Linked DNA regions of Ovis aries. The protein of the gene in region 2 interacts with the protein of the main gene of each other region in a biochemical or structural test. Links are inferred from orthologs where the notes say so. Each region holds a gene or a part of one and is shown on either strand. Other genes may lie near its edges.

Region 1 (7,426 bases), on a different chromosome or scaffold from region 2:
GGTCTCCTGCATTGCAGGCGGATCCTTTACCAATTGAGCTATCAGGGAAGCCCAGAGCTAGGGGAAGTGGAAGGAAAAGTTGGAGAGGGCAGGCAGAAGAGGTGGAGAGGGCAGGCAGAAGAGGTGGCCTGGGGCAGGTCCCCAGTAGCTCCGGGAGGCTGCTCTGGCTGGGCCTTGGAGGGGGACAGGGTGACAGGGGTGAGCATCTCTCCCGCAGGCTTTCCAAGGCCCAGGGCACAGAGGCCGCCATGGCCCTTGCATCTCCCGCTGGCAGGGCCTGACCCGTCCTCAGCAGCACTTGTCAGATCTATTGGACCTGGTAAGGCTGGCTTTTGTCCAGGCTTGCGTGGAAAGCAAGGCACCAGCAAATTGTGCATGCAGCTGATCTTTGCCTGGGCGTTTTCCAGCTCAGCAAGCCCCACCCCAAAGGAAACGCTGCTTTCCTCTGAGCCTACCCCTCCGCCAGTGTGCCCATGGCAAGTGGCACCACAGGCATCTTATTCCAGGTGCCGGACTGTTGCTGTCTGGGGCCACTTCAGCTGGGCGTTTCACTCGCCCTGCCATCTCCTAGTGGGGCTGTTTCAAGGCTCCTCCACGAGGAGAGAGTGGTCTCAGGCCAGGGGATGGGAGTGGTAATGGGGGGGTCAGTGCCCACCTCTGGGGCAGACACTTGGCTCAAGGGGCACAGTGATGGCCTTAAACATTCCAGCCCCTATGGAAGGATACTGCAGCATTTGGAGCCCGCAGTGTACATGGGGCCACCCCCTCACCCAGAAACTAAGGACAAAGGCAGGGCACAGCCCGTGGCCATTCTATCCTCTAGCGATGGCACAAGGCCTAGACCAGAGCCTCCGTGGCCCCTTCCCACCTAGGCCTCCCATCTCTCATCCCAGCACCTCTTCCCTGTCTCCCCACCCCCACCCCCCATAGCTACACACTCCTGCCCAGACAAGCTTCTGGAACCAGGGGTCTCCAGTCACTGGCAAGACTTTCCCCCTCTCCACCATGCAGCAACTTCTTGCCCTAATATCACCAATGACCTTCTTGTTAGCTTGACAGGAGGCTGCCCTCTTTTGCTTCTTGGCAGCACTATACACTCTGTACCCTGGCTGGAGGGGCCTTCCTGGCCTCTGACTCCAAGCTCTCCCTGTGGCCTTGCGTCTGCAGAGGTGCCTTGGCCTCTGCAGTGTCTCCAGTTGGTGAAGTCTCCCCCAGGTCCAGTGCTCTCCCCTTTCTTCGGTCATGCTCTCTGGGAAGTAATTTCATGCATCCTCGCAGTGTCTGGGACATTGTGTCCACAGGCCCTCCGGAATGTCGTGGAAAACTGCACAGGGCCGCGGAATCAGCCTGTCGGGCCTGTCAGCAAGGCACCTACTATACACCTGGGAGACACCACTCCTGTCTCCATGGGCAGCCTGAGCTCCCCGATGACTTTCTGCACCCAGCAGATGGCTCCTAGCTACCACAGGGTCATCACCTCCCAGTCGGGAGGCACACAAGACTCACCAGCTGTCTCTTGTGTCTGTCAACAAGACCCGTCTGCACGCGTCAGCTCTCCCCGAGGACCCGGCCTTCCTGAGAGTTGCCCTCTCCCTTCCACAGCCCACCCAAGCCCCTGATAAAATGATGGAGGCACCCGGTTCTAAGCATCCAAAAGGGACAGCGTTTATTTGTTGGGGCAGCTGAGGAGGAAGCTACGCTAGAGGACGGGAAGGTGCTCCGTGCTGGCTGTGACCGAGGGGTTCGGTGGAAGCTGCAGGCAGCCATCTTCTGATCCTGAGGTAGAGGCCTGGGATGAAGCAGACACTGCAGAGTGCAGAGGGGAGGTAGGAAGAAACTGGGTATTTGGGGAAATCATTTATCTGCTGCCAATACCCCTGGACTTCTCAGTTTCGCAAACCAATACCTTCTCTTTATTGCTTAAACCTATGTCCTGTAATGGTTAAATCAACGATGGGGAAACCAAAAGCAGTTCAACTAATAGAGTTCCTTTCAGGTCAAAGTCTCACATGCACCTCTAGTGTGACTGAGAAGGTCAATATAAAATTTCCTGACTACAAAGAAATGAGAGCGTAGGGAAGTCTATCACATGAACCTTGTGGCAGTGCATGCCCAGCTCCTGGGTGGAGCCATGGACTTCCACCTGCTCTTCAAAGCCTTTGGCCCTCGAGCCACTGTCTGTCCTCCCCACCTGGGGACCCAGCACTTACCCTATGAGGCTCAGGCCGGAGAGTGGCCCAGGTGCCCTCCTCTGAGGAGCAGGTGCCTAGACGATCTCTACGACCCACCCCCCAGCTTCTGCCCCCACCCAGGTTCCCTCTCAGACAGTGAGTGGTGTGCACAGTGGGAGGCCCTGTCCACATGTGGCAGAGGATGGGCAAAGGGTACAGGGGCCTGCTCGAGTCACCTCGAGACCATCACCTGTCATCTCTAAAGGTCATGGACCGCTTGTGTCTGGGAGGAGAAAAGAAGGGGGTGCCCAGAGAAAATCTGTGACACTAAGGGCCAGGACATTCCGTCTCTGGGCCACGCTTGGCCATCACTCAGAATTTGGCCTCAGTTTGTATCTGGGACACAGGAGTAGGATGCCTACAGACTCCTGACCCCAGGCTTTGGAGCTAAAGAAAACTAAGAGAGTCTCAAGAACAGCCCTCACTGAGCAGAGTTGAAGGCTGGGGACCAACGTGGCACCTACGTGTCACTCCCCAGAGTCGGGTGACATCCTAGACTCCCCAGCCCGCCTTCCGTTTGAGTGCATACTGGTTGCAGTCACTAAGGGGGCCCAAGGCTGGCCATCACCTGACCTCTTGCCAATGCCGGACCTGTCAAGGATGAGGTGACAGAACTGGGCATCAGGGGCTAGCTGCTTCCCCTTCCAGGCCTGGAAAAGGTATTGCTCGAGGGTTTCTCCTCAGTGGGCTAAACCTGGAATGTCCATGGCCACCCCTCAGAACCCGTCTGAACGACCCTTTTCTCCTTCTCACCCTGAAGTACTTCTGGAAGCTGGCTGGACTCAGAATCTGGCTCCTTGCCTTCTCCGCTAGGAGCCTCGGCTGTCTCACCTTTTGTGCAACATGTGGGAGCCAACCTGGGTCAAGAGCTTTGAGTGGGGCCTGGCACCTAACATGAGCCAGATACAGGTACCCGAGTACCCGCCAGGCAGTATTATGAGCCAAGTTGCAATACAAGAAGACATTTAATGCTACATGCAGCTTGTGGCCTGGCCAGGCTCCTCCCCACACTCCGAGAATCCTACTTGGAGAACCCCTTCTCCATAGCTTCAGTCGCTTCGGGGTGCAGGAAGCGGCCAGCCAAACGTTCAATGTCATCCAGCGTCAGGCGGCTCAGGGACCGCTCATAATCCTGAAGAGAGAAAGCCAGAAGGATTCAGGGGTGTGGCTTGGGGCGGGGGGGCCCGCTGGGACAGAGGCAGGTGGGCAGGATGCAGAGGTCCTGGGCCACGCTTCTCACCCTCTGGAGTTGATCCAGGACTCTGCTGGCATCGGCGGCGCTGAAGTGCTGGGCCAGGATTCTGGAAATGAGCGGCCAGGCGGCGGGCGGTGGGGCTGGGGCCTCGGCCGTTTTCCGCGCAGTGCTTTCTTCCAGCAACACCTTCTCCAGAGGTTTGACCACTAGGTTGAGCTTGGAATTCGGCCCGATGCTGTAATCGGAGAGTCTTTTCCCATCTGTCCGAAAGAGAGAGGGAGAGGGAGAGAGGGAGAGAGGGAGAGAGGGAGAGAGGGAGAGAGGGAGAGAGGGAGAGAGGGAGAGAGGGAGAGAGGGAGAGAGGGAGAGAGGGAGAGAGGGAGAGAGGGTCGCACTGACCCTCGGAGAGCCTAGGCGAAGCGCAGCGGTGAACTCCCGGGATGGGGGTGGGGGTCACCTAGCCAGAGCCCCCTCCACCTACACTGCTGCCCGGGCCTGGGCTGGACGCCCCGTCCCCTGGCTTCCCGCGGGTCTCCCCCAGCGTCCCCTCTTCCTGGTTACCTGCCAGGGCCTTGCCCTTGAACAGCAGCCGCTGTTGGCGGACGGGGATGTTCAGCTTTTCGGAGACCAGATGTTTCAGCGTGGACACCAGCTCGTCCTCCGACACCTGTCCCGGCCGAGAAAGGTGGGCGGGGGGTGAAGCCGCGGCCCGCGCGGAGGGTGGCTCTCCCGAGGCGGCTAGCCCGCCGGGTCCGTCCCTTCCCGCGGCTCGATCCCGCACCCGCGGGGCTGACCGCGCAACCCAGCCCGGCGATGCTACCTGAAGGCTGCACTCGCGGCCCTGGAGTGCCTTCACCGTCAGCTGCATGGCGGCCGCCGAGGCGTCCACTCGGGCCGGCGCGCACCCCAACGGTCCGCCGCCGCGCGCCGCCGCCCCGGGCGCGCGCCGGAACCGCCCGCCGCCGCCGGAAGCATCGCGAGGGGCGAGCCGGGCATCGCGGCCCCGCCCCGCCGGCCCCTCCCCCCACAACCTGGACTGTCCTCCGCGGAGCCCGGGGCGACGGAGCCCAGAAGCCCGCGGAGAGTGGAAAAGGGTGGCGGGACCAGTCGGGCTCGCTCGAAGGAGTTGGGGAGCTGGGCCCGGGGAGACGGCGGGCCGGGAGTTCGCGCGCCACCGCCCGTGGGCAGAGCAGGTCAACGCTGATGCCCATCCCATCCCCTGCCTCTCAGGAGCCTGCAGAAGACCCGGCCCCGCCGAGCTCGTTTCACCACCCGCCGGCCTCTTTTTTACTTCACCTGTGGAAAAGCAACTGAGCTTGGGATCTGGTGGGGGAGTCAGGCCTCTGCCCTTCCCACTGCTTCTTCTAGAACAGATACACAGCTCTCAGAGGTGATGCAGGGGCGAGGAAGGCTAAATCTGGCCAGAGGTCACTGTGTCGCCAAGCCAGCCCTCCATCCTGGCCCACACCTACCTGGCCACACCACGCCCTTCCTTCCCCGACCCGCAGGCCTCAGAGGGCAAAGACAGCATGATACCCAAGCTTGCTTCTGTTTTATTGAAATATATTTTCTGGGCAGTGCCCGCTTACAGAACTCAGCATGGCCTCTTTGGCACTGAAAGCTGGAGAATAAAAAACGAGTAAAAAAAATAAGCCTGGATTTTTTTTTTTTTCTGAGTGCATAGTGCATGAGAACTAAAGGCCTTTGGTACACAAGAATGGTGGGGACAGTTGATGGAGGTTGGGGGCTGGGGGTGCCTGGTGAAAGCTTGACCCGGGGGCCTCAGGGAACGGTGCACACGCTGCTATAGATAAAGTGGCCAATTACTAAGGCCAGCATCTCCGAGGTGCCACTAAGTGCCACAAGGAAAGGGGCCTGGGAGGCATAGTCAGCCTGGAGGCGGCGGAGGGACAGCTGCAGCATGGCCAAGGCCAGAAGGCTGTTCTGCACCCCAACCTCGATGCTGACAGTCCGCCGCTGGGCCACTGGCAGATTCAGGCATGTGGCCAGGCCGTAGCCCACCAGGAGGCCGACCAGGGGCACTGTGAAGCCCACCAACACGATGGGCAGCCTGACGCCTGCCAGGATGAAGACCCCCATGCGGTAGGCCAGGAAGAGGCCACCCAGGAGCAGCACAAAGCTGAAGGGCTTGATGACATGCAGCAGCAGCTGCGAGAACTTGGGGAGCTTGGACTTGATTACCACGCCTGCTGCAATGGGGATGGCAATGAACAGCAGGGTCCCCAGGATCTTGGAAACAGGCACATGGAGTGTTTCATGGATGCTGAGCAGGCGACTGTAGATGGCTGAGGACAGCGGCAGGAAGCCGGTGGCAGCCACCGTTGAGATGAAAGTCATAGAGATGGCCAGAGTGACGTCCCCTCCGAGGAGGAGGCTGAAGAGGTAGCTCCCCCCGCCGCCGGGCGACGAGCAAGTGATGATGAGGCCCAGAGCCAGGGCCTTGGGCAGCATGAAGACCTTAGCCATCAGAAAAGCATAGAAGGGCATGACTAGGAACTGGCCCAGAAGGCCCAGCAGCATGGGCTGGGGGTTCTGCAAGAGCCCCTTCAGTACCTCGAGCTCCACTTTGCACCCAAATGAACACTTATTGACAAAGATAAGAGGCAGGAGCAAGTAGAGGATTGGGTTCTCTGAGAAGTGGACCAGGTTAGTGCCGAGGGTGATGGGGGTGTCTTCAGCGGGTGAGACCTTGATGCAGAAATCTCTCCGCTCTTCGATCAGCCTGGGCGGGGCCTCGCGGGGGTCCGTGAGCTGGATGTGGAGTGGGGCTATCCCAGGCAGGCCCGAGCGGATGCTTACCACGAAGCTGCCACCGCCGCCCCAGGCTATAGCACTCACATTCTTAATGGTCAGCACCTCTGGGTCCAGGGAGGTGACCCTCAGCATGGGGCTGGGTCCTGTCCCGTTGCCCTGGCCTGGGTAATGGCTTGTGATCACAATGATGCCCTCGCTCTCTTCTGGGAACTCAAACTCCATCACAGAGCCATCTCCAATGCTCAGGTAGCGGCCCCTGGTCAGGGGCATGGGATGGCCCAGAGCCGGGCTGAGACTGGCACTGGCTGTTCCCCGGGCCCCCCACAGCAGGCTGACAAGCAGCAGGGTGGCCCTGAGCATGCTTTGGGGGCCCGTGCAACCAGTGCCCCCTTCTGGGCCAGGCCACTGCAGGGAGCAGCCTTCACCACTCCTAAACACCATGGCTCCTTCCCAACGGTGGGGCATGCAGGCCCTCTGTGGCTTAGGAGACCAGCCTTGCTGGTGCCGTTGGGTGGTCCTCAGAAGGGTCCATGGGCGAGGTCTGGTGCTGGGCTCCCTTTCTTGATGGTAGAGCTCTTCCTGAGAAGAGAAGGGACATGGCGGTGGCTGGTGAGGGCGAGCAGCTGTGAGCCCAGGAGCATGACCGAGAAGCCCACTGCTGGGAGACTCAGCCGGGTTCCTTGCTGCAAGCCTGGGGATGGCCCTTGAGTGCCATTCGGGTGTCCCTTCCCCAGTCACAACTACCTCAAGCTTCCCCAGAAGGGGAAGGGACAGGTAGAACTTTGCCTTCGGCCTGCTGATTCAGGCTGATTTTGACAGTTCAGAGATGGCCTGACACCAGGGGATCAGCCCCAATCTTGTCACCACTAGCCTGTGCCCCACTTGCTTTGAGGCACAGTTGCGGCAGTACCACAACCAGGAGGAAATCTCTGAAGGACAGCCCAGGGATGCCCAGGAAGCAGGCCTGATGAGAGCAGGCCAGCTCACGGCATCTGAGTGTCATCTGACCAGCAGAGAGCAGCTGGCAAAGTGGTGTGGGCAGCGGGTGACCCCCGGGCCAAAGGCCCCATGTGCTGATGTTCACCACTGCCATGTGAACGGTGCTGCTGTGTGTGGCCATCTGGCCTACCTACCTGCTGACAGGGGCAAGATGGAGGTTCTGGGAGGAAGCAGGTCCCCTCTCTCCCCAGGGAAGTTGCCAGAAGGGGCAGCAGAAAGGGATCAG
Region 2 (7,353 bases):
TAGCCCTCTCCCCTGACAGATGCCTCCCTTGAGGCCACTGCTGCCTGGTTTCCCACTTCTAGGGCTTCTTCTGGTCTATGACAGGACCTTCTCCCAAGGTTTGGCCCCCAATCTGATGCACTGAGCGCCAAGACCAGGGCCCTGGAGCCCACCCAGGGATGATGCTAGGCTCTGCAGTCTTAATCCCTCAGGCCCAGCAGTCTCTGTCTGAGGCCAGCTCCACGTCACCCCCTGCCCCAGGGCTGGGATGCTTGGTGTCCCATCTGAAGGGGGGCCAGTGGATGTCCTCACTCTCTCCTATAAAACAGGGTAACGGAGGCTGCTGGGAGATTCCAGCACCTCATGCAGGTGTCTCCCCCAGGCTCTACAGACATGGGGGGCTGGGGAGAATGTGCATTAAAGGGTGTTTAATAGCACCCTCTGCATCCATCTTCTGGGAGAGGGGGTGGGGTGGGGTGGGATGGGACAAGACTGGGTTCCATCACCATGTGACCTCTGAGGTCCTGGGACGCTGATCATATTTAAATACATACCTGAGTGGAAGGGTGGGGAGGTGACCCACTGTGGGGAGGTAACACGGGGCCCTCCTGTTCACACTGTGTGACCATCGGGAATTTATTGTGGTGTCCAGTGTGAGCAGGCATCAAACCCAATATTTTTCTCAAATGTGAATGCAGGAGCCCTCCCCCTTGGCATAGCTGACACGGGGTCAGGTCACTGTGCAGGGGGCATCCTGGGAGCTGTGAGGGATGGGGCAGCATCGCTCTCCCTCACACCCTCGATCCCGGGAAAATCCCCCCACCCTGCCCAGGGTGTTGTCAATCACAAAAGTCTCTAGACGTCACCAAACCCCCAGTTGAAAGTCACTGATACACACCAAGTGGAAAAAATAAAGGGCAGATTTTCTGGCCAAATGACTTGGCTGTGAACTTTCAGTGAATCCTGCATTCGCTGAGTATTCTGGGTTACATGGGGCTTCCCAGGTGGCTCAAATGGTAAAGAACACACCTGCCAATGCAGGAGACAGAAGAGATGCAGGTTCGATCCCTGGGTCAGGAAGATCCCCTGGAGGAGGGCACAGCAACCCATGCCAGTATTCTTGCCTAGAGAATCCCATGGACAGAGAAGCCTGGAGAGCTACAGTCCATAGGGCTGCAAACAATCAGACACGACTGAAGCAACTCAGCACGCATGCACGCTGGGTTTCAGGACTACAGACAGGAGACTGCGAGTGTGCAGTGGGACTGGCACCTGCTGGACACTGGCGGTCCATGAGAGTGGCCATTCTCCTCCCTCCGGATGGTCCGCATCACCTTCCTGCTCCCAGCAAAGTGAGTCCAGAAACGCTGGCACATGCTCTTCCTCAGCTGCTACTGGGCACCAGGGGCTTGGGAACAATTCTGACTTGTCAGGCTTTGGCTGGGGAACAGAATCCTCAGCAGGACCGTTCTCTCTCCCAAGAACAGCAAGGGCTTTGTGAAGCCCAGAAGGCTCCAAGGGCACTGGCTGCAGGCATGGGGTACAGGCAGGAGACTGGCTGGGAATGGACAATGGCCCTGGGGTGTGGCTGAGGCCAGGGACCCAGCTCCAATTCCTCCCGGTGCCTTCAGAAGCCCTGCTGGCTCTCCATCCACCTTTCCATTTTCTCACTGAAAACACCCCAACCTCAAGAATTCCCTGGATGTCCAGCGGTTAAGAATCTACCTGCCAACGCAGGGGACAAGGGTTCGATCCCTGGTCCGGGAAGATCCCACATGTGGCTGGGCAGCTAAGCCCAAGCACCATAACAACTGCACCCATGAACTGCAACTACTGAAGCCCAGGTGCCCTACAGCCCTTGCTCTGCAACAAGGGAAGCCACCACAATGAGAAGCCCACACACCACAACTAGAGAGAACCCCCGCTATCTGCAACTAGAGAAAGCGCATGCATAGCAACAAAGACTCAGTGCAGCCAAAAATAAACTAACAACAACAACAAAAACTTATAAAAAAGACTATAGCTCTCAATACAGGGCAGCACTTAACCCAATTTAGGGCCACTCACCCTTCCAGGAAGACTTAATTATAAAGCCCTGAATGAAATCCTTGGAGTGCCCAGCACTTACAGGCCTGAGCTGTATACTGTACCCACACTCACTTATTTTAGGGGTCAGCAAACATCTTCTGAAAAGAAGGGCCAGGGTGAGGACGTTCAGCTTCCCAGGGTCCAGGTAACATGTGTGTGGATCCAGTGGGTTCTATCCCACAAAACCTCATCCACAAAAACAAGGCTGCAGGGACTTCCCTGTGGTCCAGTGGCTAAGCCTCCATGTTCCCAATGCAGGGGGTCCTGGTTCCATCCTGGTCAAGGAACTAGATCCCTCCCCCACAAAAGAGGCTGCAGTGGAATTTGGCCCCCTGGTCACCATTTGTTTAATCGAACTCCCACTGTACAGCGTAAAAAACTGAGGCCCAGAGGGACGGGAGCAACCTCCAAGGTCATCCAGGGAAGATGCATATCAGCAGTTTTGAACCTGTGCAACCTGATTTCTAGAGCTCCAAACTCCAAAATACCCTTCCTCACCCACAAAAGTGGACACCCACACCAAACCTTGCATGTGATTTCTTGGGGGTTCACACCCTTCACCCCTTCTGGAGACCAGAAGCTGATGTTACTTGGCCCTAGGTTGAGGGCCACTAGTGAAAAACCACTAGTCTGAGGTAGGACGTACTTTAGCACTGTGGACATTGAGGGCCAGACTGTTCTCCGTGGGGCCATCCTGGGCACTGTGGGATGTGCAGCAGCATCCCTGGTCACCAGCCCCTTGATACCAGGAGCGCCCCTGGCTGTGACAGCCATAGACGTCCCCAGACATGGCCCGTGTTCCCTGAGAGGACAGAATGCCTGGCCTAGGGAGAGGAAAAGCAGACAAAACAAATAACCAGAGAGAGAAACAAAAGAAAACGGGAAACTTTCCTGGGTGGAGATGCAGAGTGCTCAAGCAGTTCCTGGCATCTGATAACAAAACCATCTGTCCTCTAGGAAGCTCTAGACAAGTAGCAAGAACCTAATGAAAGAAGGTTCCAAGTGTACTTAACCTCATAATGACCTTAAGAGACATATACTTCTACAGCCCCTATTCGTGGCAGAAAAGGGTCGTGGAGGGGGCAAACGACTTGCCCAAGCTCACAGAGCCAGCGAGAGGTGGACGAGCCGGTCCTCAGCGCTAGATTTCGCCCCAGTCTCTGGCACAACAGGCAGAGGTCGTCCTCGTGAAAGCGGACTAACCGCTGCTGATCTCTTGGAGCTGTCACTTCGCGCTGGGGGCCCTGCGGCTTTAGTCCTCTCCGGAAGTCCCCCTACTCCATGCAGGGTCTGTGACAACGCCCGTTATATGGAGGGGGAAAAAGGCTCCGAGAAGCCAAGAGGCTGGTCAAGGTCACCCAGGTGGACAGTGAAGGCGCCGGGACAGGGAGCCCCGACTTGAACCCCAAGGACCGGAGCCCCGATTCTAAAAGACCGTGTTTCCGGGACACAGCGGACACCCAGCGAGTGCTCACTGCGTGCGGGGCGCTATGCCTCCCGCTATTCACCCCCGGGCCTCCTAATCCGCATTTCATAGGCCTGGAGTCCGGAGGAAGAAAACCTGGGCAGCCAAGGGCTTGCCCGACGGGGTCTGGCCTCAGTTTCCCCTCCGCGCCGCCCACTCACAGCACTCCGCAAATTATGGCGACCCCGGCCCCGGACCGACGTCTTCCTACGGCACAGGAGCCCCAGAGGCCCCAGACGCCCCGAATTGCGGACCTTAGGCCCATTCGGACCAGCGCCGAACCCCCCGACTCACCTCACACAGCCGAACCCGGGACCCACCGACGGCTGCGCCTGCGCACCACAGCGCCGCCCGGTCCCGCCCCCCAACTGAGACGCCTGCGCAGAAGGAGCCAGCGCCTCCTGGCTTTCATTCTGCGCAGGCGCGGCAATTATCAGGTCTGGCGTAAGGGGAAGTGACGTACCTTAGAGGCTGGGACAAGTTGGTCGTTAGGGCAACTAACCACTACGAGCGATTGGAGGCCGGAAATCAGGACTGACTTGTCCTCTACAGAGGGAATGGAGTGGTGCATCATGGGACGGTGGAGGATTCTTGTGGGTTGGCTGAGTCGTCACGTGGTGCCGAGTCGGCCACGTGGTGCAGCTGCGTTTGGGTATCTGGCGCCCCGGAGCATCATAGACGCTCTTTGAATTCGAGCAACTGTTATTTGTTTATTTTTTTTACCCATCCATCCTCCAACAAGTGAATTATGTTATTCATTCAGTCCATCAGAGTAAAGTATAATAATTCACAGATTTTTGTTTACCGCAGGTGCCTAGTAGTCAACGAATATGCACGCCAACTATAAAGGGAAATGTTTGCTCTCATTACCTTGTATTGCGATACACTATAAACTAGTAAACTAGTATATAAATGAACAGATTTTACTCAATGGCAAGCACTATGAAGAAAACGTGGTGTGTTGTGTTTGGGGGGTAAATTGGCTGGGATGATTAGGGAGGGTCTCTCTCCCACAGGTAAATTTGAAGAACTGGAGAAAAGCACTCCAGCTATAGGAAACAGCGAAAATGAAAACTAACGTAGAATTAATCTTGACGTTCTCAAGAGAGAAAAAAATCGAGGGTGGGTAATGGGAAATTCCCTACTAAATGACCGTCATTAGGGTTAAAGTTGCCAGAAATGTTCTCCCAATTCACTTTTATCCTACTTAAAACGCATGCACACTTAACACCCCAGGGTATTTTCATTTCTTTTGCAGAAATGGATAAATAAAGGAGGTGGGTTTGGGGGCATGTTTAATTCTCGTTTCTTTCCGGGTGACTCAGGTGGTTCAAGGTTGATATTTTGGGGTTTTTTTGCGCACTGGTCTTCGTTTCCTATGCGTATGTGCATGCTCAGTCGTGACCGACTCTTTGGGGCCCTACGGAGAAGGAATCAAACCTGTGCCCCCTTCAGTGAAAGTTCAGTTCAGTCGCTCAGTCCTGTTCGACTCTGCGACCCCATGAACCGCAGCACGCCTGGCCTCCCTGTCCATCACCAACGTGAAAGAGTGGAGTCCTAACCTCTGGACCGCCTCAAGATTTTGTTTTAACCGGTGATCCCTAGGACAGGCAACTGCACTGTTTCAAAACACCTGTTGTTTGAAGTCTTGGATCCGTTTTCTGAAGCTTTCTCAATAACACTTACTTGCTAACACACATTTTTGTTTTTTAAGTAAATATGTGTTTAATTTTATTGACCAACTGGTTTCAGCTAATGTATGTGGCGCACCTTCTTTATTCATTAGATACTTGAAGCTGGGCAGGATACTGGGAATGGGATAAGCGCCTGAGATACGGTAAGCGATCACGGATTACCTAACTTAGCGGAGAAAAGTTGTAAAGCTAGACAAATACACAACTAATGTAGAAAGGAGGCTAATATAAATTAATACAGGAGCTGGAAGCCCAAGCCAACTACTGCCAGAAAGAGCGCAGAGAAAAAGCTGCGAGGCGCCAGCTGTGCGAGTTTCCACGGAAACGCCTCTTCCTCGCCTCCCCGAAAGCTCCACCCTCTCACCACCGAGAGCAAATGACAGACGGGGGTGGTTCCGGCGCAGGCGCAGAGTGAGTCAGCCGTCTGGCGCACAGCCACAGGTTTTGGGCGGAGCTAGGGTGCGCAAGCGCCCTGCCCTCCAGCGCACGCGTCTCCCAGCATTCAGCGAGCGCGCGGGCGGCGGGCGCCTCGGTCTGGACATTTGCGATCTCTGAGTGGACGGAGGCTGCTGGCCGCTGCGCGGACACGGACGAGGTGGAGGCAGGGGCCGCCAGTGCGCACCCGCCAGCTATGAAGCCTCCTGCAGGTACAGGCTGTGTCTTGGTTGTGGCCCCGCTCGTCGGACCCGGGAGCCCCGTGCCCCTCCCCCGGGGTCGCCCCTGGGCCTTAGAACGGAGCCAGTGACCCTCGAGTGACCTGGGCCCAGGCTGGGGATGGGGGTCGGCGAGCTTGGAACCCCGCCCCCTCGGTTGCCGAATGAATGATCCAGGTTTTTCAGCGCTTCGCTCATTCGGCAAACTCCATTACTTCTCTTGAGGATGGGTCTGCCCTGAGGTGGACTCCAAAAGAGTTCTAGACTTAGTTCCATAGCCGGCCGTTCGAAAGGCAAAAAACAAGCGGGGGCTTTAGACAGTGATCGGTGCCATGGCTGGTGGTGCTTCTTTAGGGAGGGCTGTCCTGGAGGGCTTCTCGGAGGAGGTGGCATTTCATTCAGCTTGGACTTGGTGGGGAGAAGCAGCTGTCCCAGGTGGTGGGAACCGCGAGGGAGGCAAGCACACCAGTAAGACGGTTGGGGAGCAGTAAGTCATTTTGGCTAGGGCACAGCTGCAGGTCCCTTTTATGTGAAGCACAATGGGGCACCACAGAAGGGTTTTCCTTTAGGGGAGCAATGTCACCTGCATACCAACCGTGTTTTAGGAAGTCGCCCAGGATGTTGAGTAGGGCCACCTCGAATTTTGCCTTGCCCGACCTATCCTGCCCCAGTTCTCTCTGCAGCCTATTGCAATGATGATGATAATTGTATTGATGATAATCATAATTACGGTTATTCAGGCCACAGGAAGGCAGGAATGTAGTCTGCTTTCTTTGGTGCAGGATTGTTAAATCAGAGACCTGGCATCTAGGTGACAGTGAATGTTTACAAACATGCCTGCTCAAAGTTTTCAAACCCTGGCTCCACCAAAAGACTTTCGTGACAATTGCAGTTCACTCAGGTCTCCCACCTTTCCTAAGCTCCTGGAGCCCTCCTTTACCGCCAACTTGAGTGCAGACTCACAGTCCCTCCTCTGCAGTTCTTGAAATCCAAATTATCCTGCAAAGATTTTCCCTAAGTTTGAAGCAGCCATTTGGCCAGAAAAATCTAACCTCTGTTGATTTAAGGGACTTTTTTTTTTTTCTCAGCTGGGATGATTGTGTCTTCCTGTGGGACTCATGTCTGGGAATATCTGTGGTCATCATGGCTGGGGGTACTCCTGGCATTGAGTGGATGGGGACCAGGGGTGCTGCTCAACATTCCACAGTGCCCAGGATAGCCCCACACAGAGAATGATCCAGCCACAAGTGTTGTTGATAATACTGTTAAAAAAAAAAAAAAAAAAAAAAGCTGCCCAGAGACACCAAACACAGGCCTGAACCAGCAGCTTCCTGCAAAGACACCCCCACCCTAATGTTTTGAAAAGCAGGGAGTTAAGGACCATGTGGCCTTGCACCACTCCTGCCTGCCAGAACGGGGGAATGAAGCATGGTAGAAGGTTCCTGGAGCAGCCCCTTCTGCTTGCTTGTTAGGT

The links.
Region 1: the proteins of SGTA (region 2) and UBL4A form a complex in vitro, tested with the Homo sapiens proteins (3 studies listed by BioGRID, with this or other methods). The link is inferred for Ovis aries from reciprocal best matches to the Homo sapiens genes SGTA and UBL4A.

The regions. Positions count from the first base shown.
Region 1 is NC_056080.1:79,952,012-79,959,437, reverse strand, and holds UBL4A (ubiquitin-like protein 4A), read right to left. Parts: upstream 4,338-7,426; 5' UTR 4,295-4,337; coding exon 4,247-4,294; intron 4,094-4,246; coding exon 3,988-4,093; intron 3,687-3,987; coding exon 3,472-3,686; intron 3,364-3,471; coding exon 3,257-3,363; coding exon of another isoform or gene 3,253-3,256; exon of another isoform or gene 2,823-3,252; coding exon 2,699-2,822; 3' UTR 2,696-2,698; exon of another isoform or gene 1,807-2,695; coding exon of another isoform or gene 1,695-1,806; 3' UTR 1,641-1,694; downstream 1-1,640. Other genes in the region: SLC10A3 (P3 protein), read right to left, coding at 5,209-6,666. UniProt on the Homo sapiens protein: As part of a cytosolic protein quality control complex, the BAG6/BAT3 complex, maintains misfolded and hydrophobic patches-containing proteins in a soluble state and participates in their proper delivery to the endoplasmic reticulum or alternatively can promote their sorting to the proteasome where they undergo degradation.
Region 2 is NC_056058.1:18,696,396-18,703,748, reverse strand, and holds the start of SGTA (small glutamine-rich tetratricopeptide repeat-containing protein alpha), read right to left. Parts: upstream 3,876-7,353; 5' UTR 3,827-3,875; intron 1-3,826. Other genes in the region: THOP1 (thimet oligopeptidase), read left to right, coding at 5,858-5,873. UniProt on the Homo sapiens protein: Co-chaperone that binds misfolded and hydrophobic patches-containing client proteins in the cytosol. Mediates their targeting to the endoplasmic reticulum but also regulates their sorting to the proteasome when targeting fails.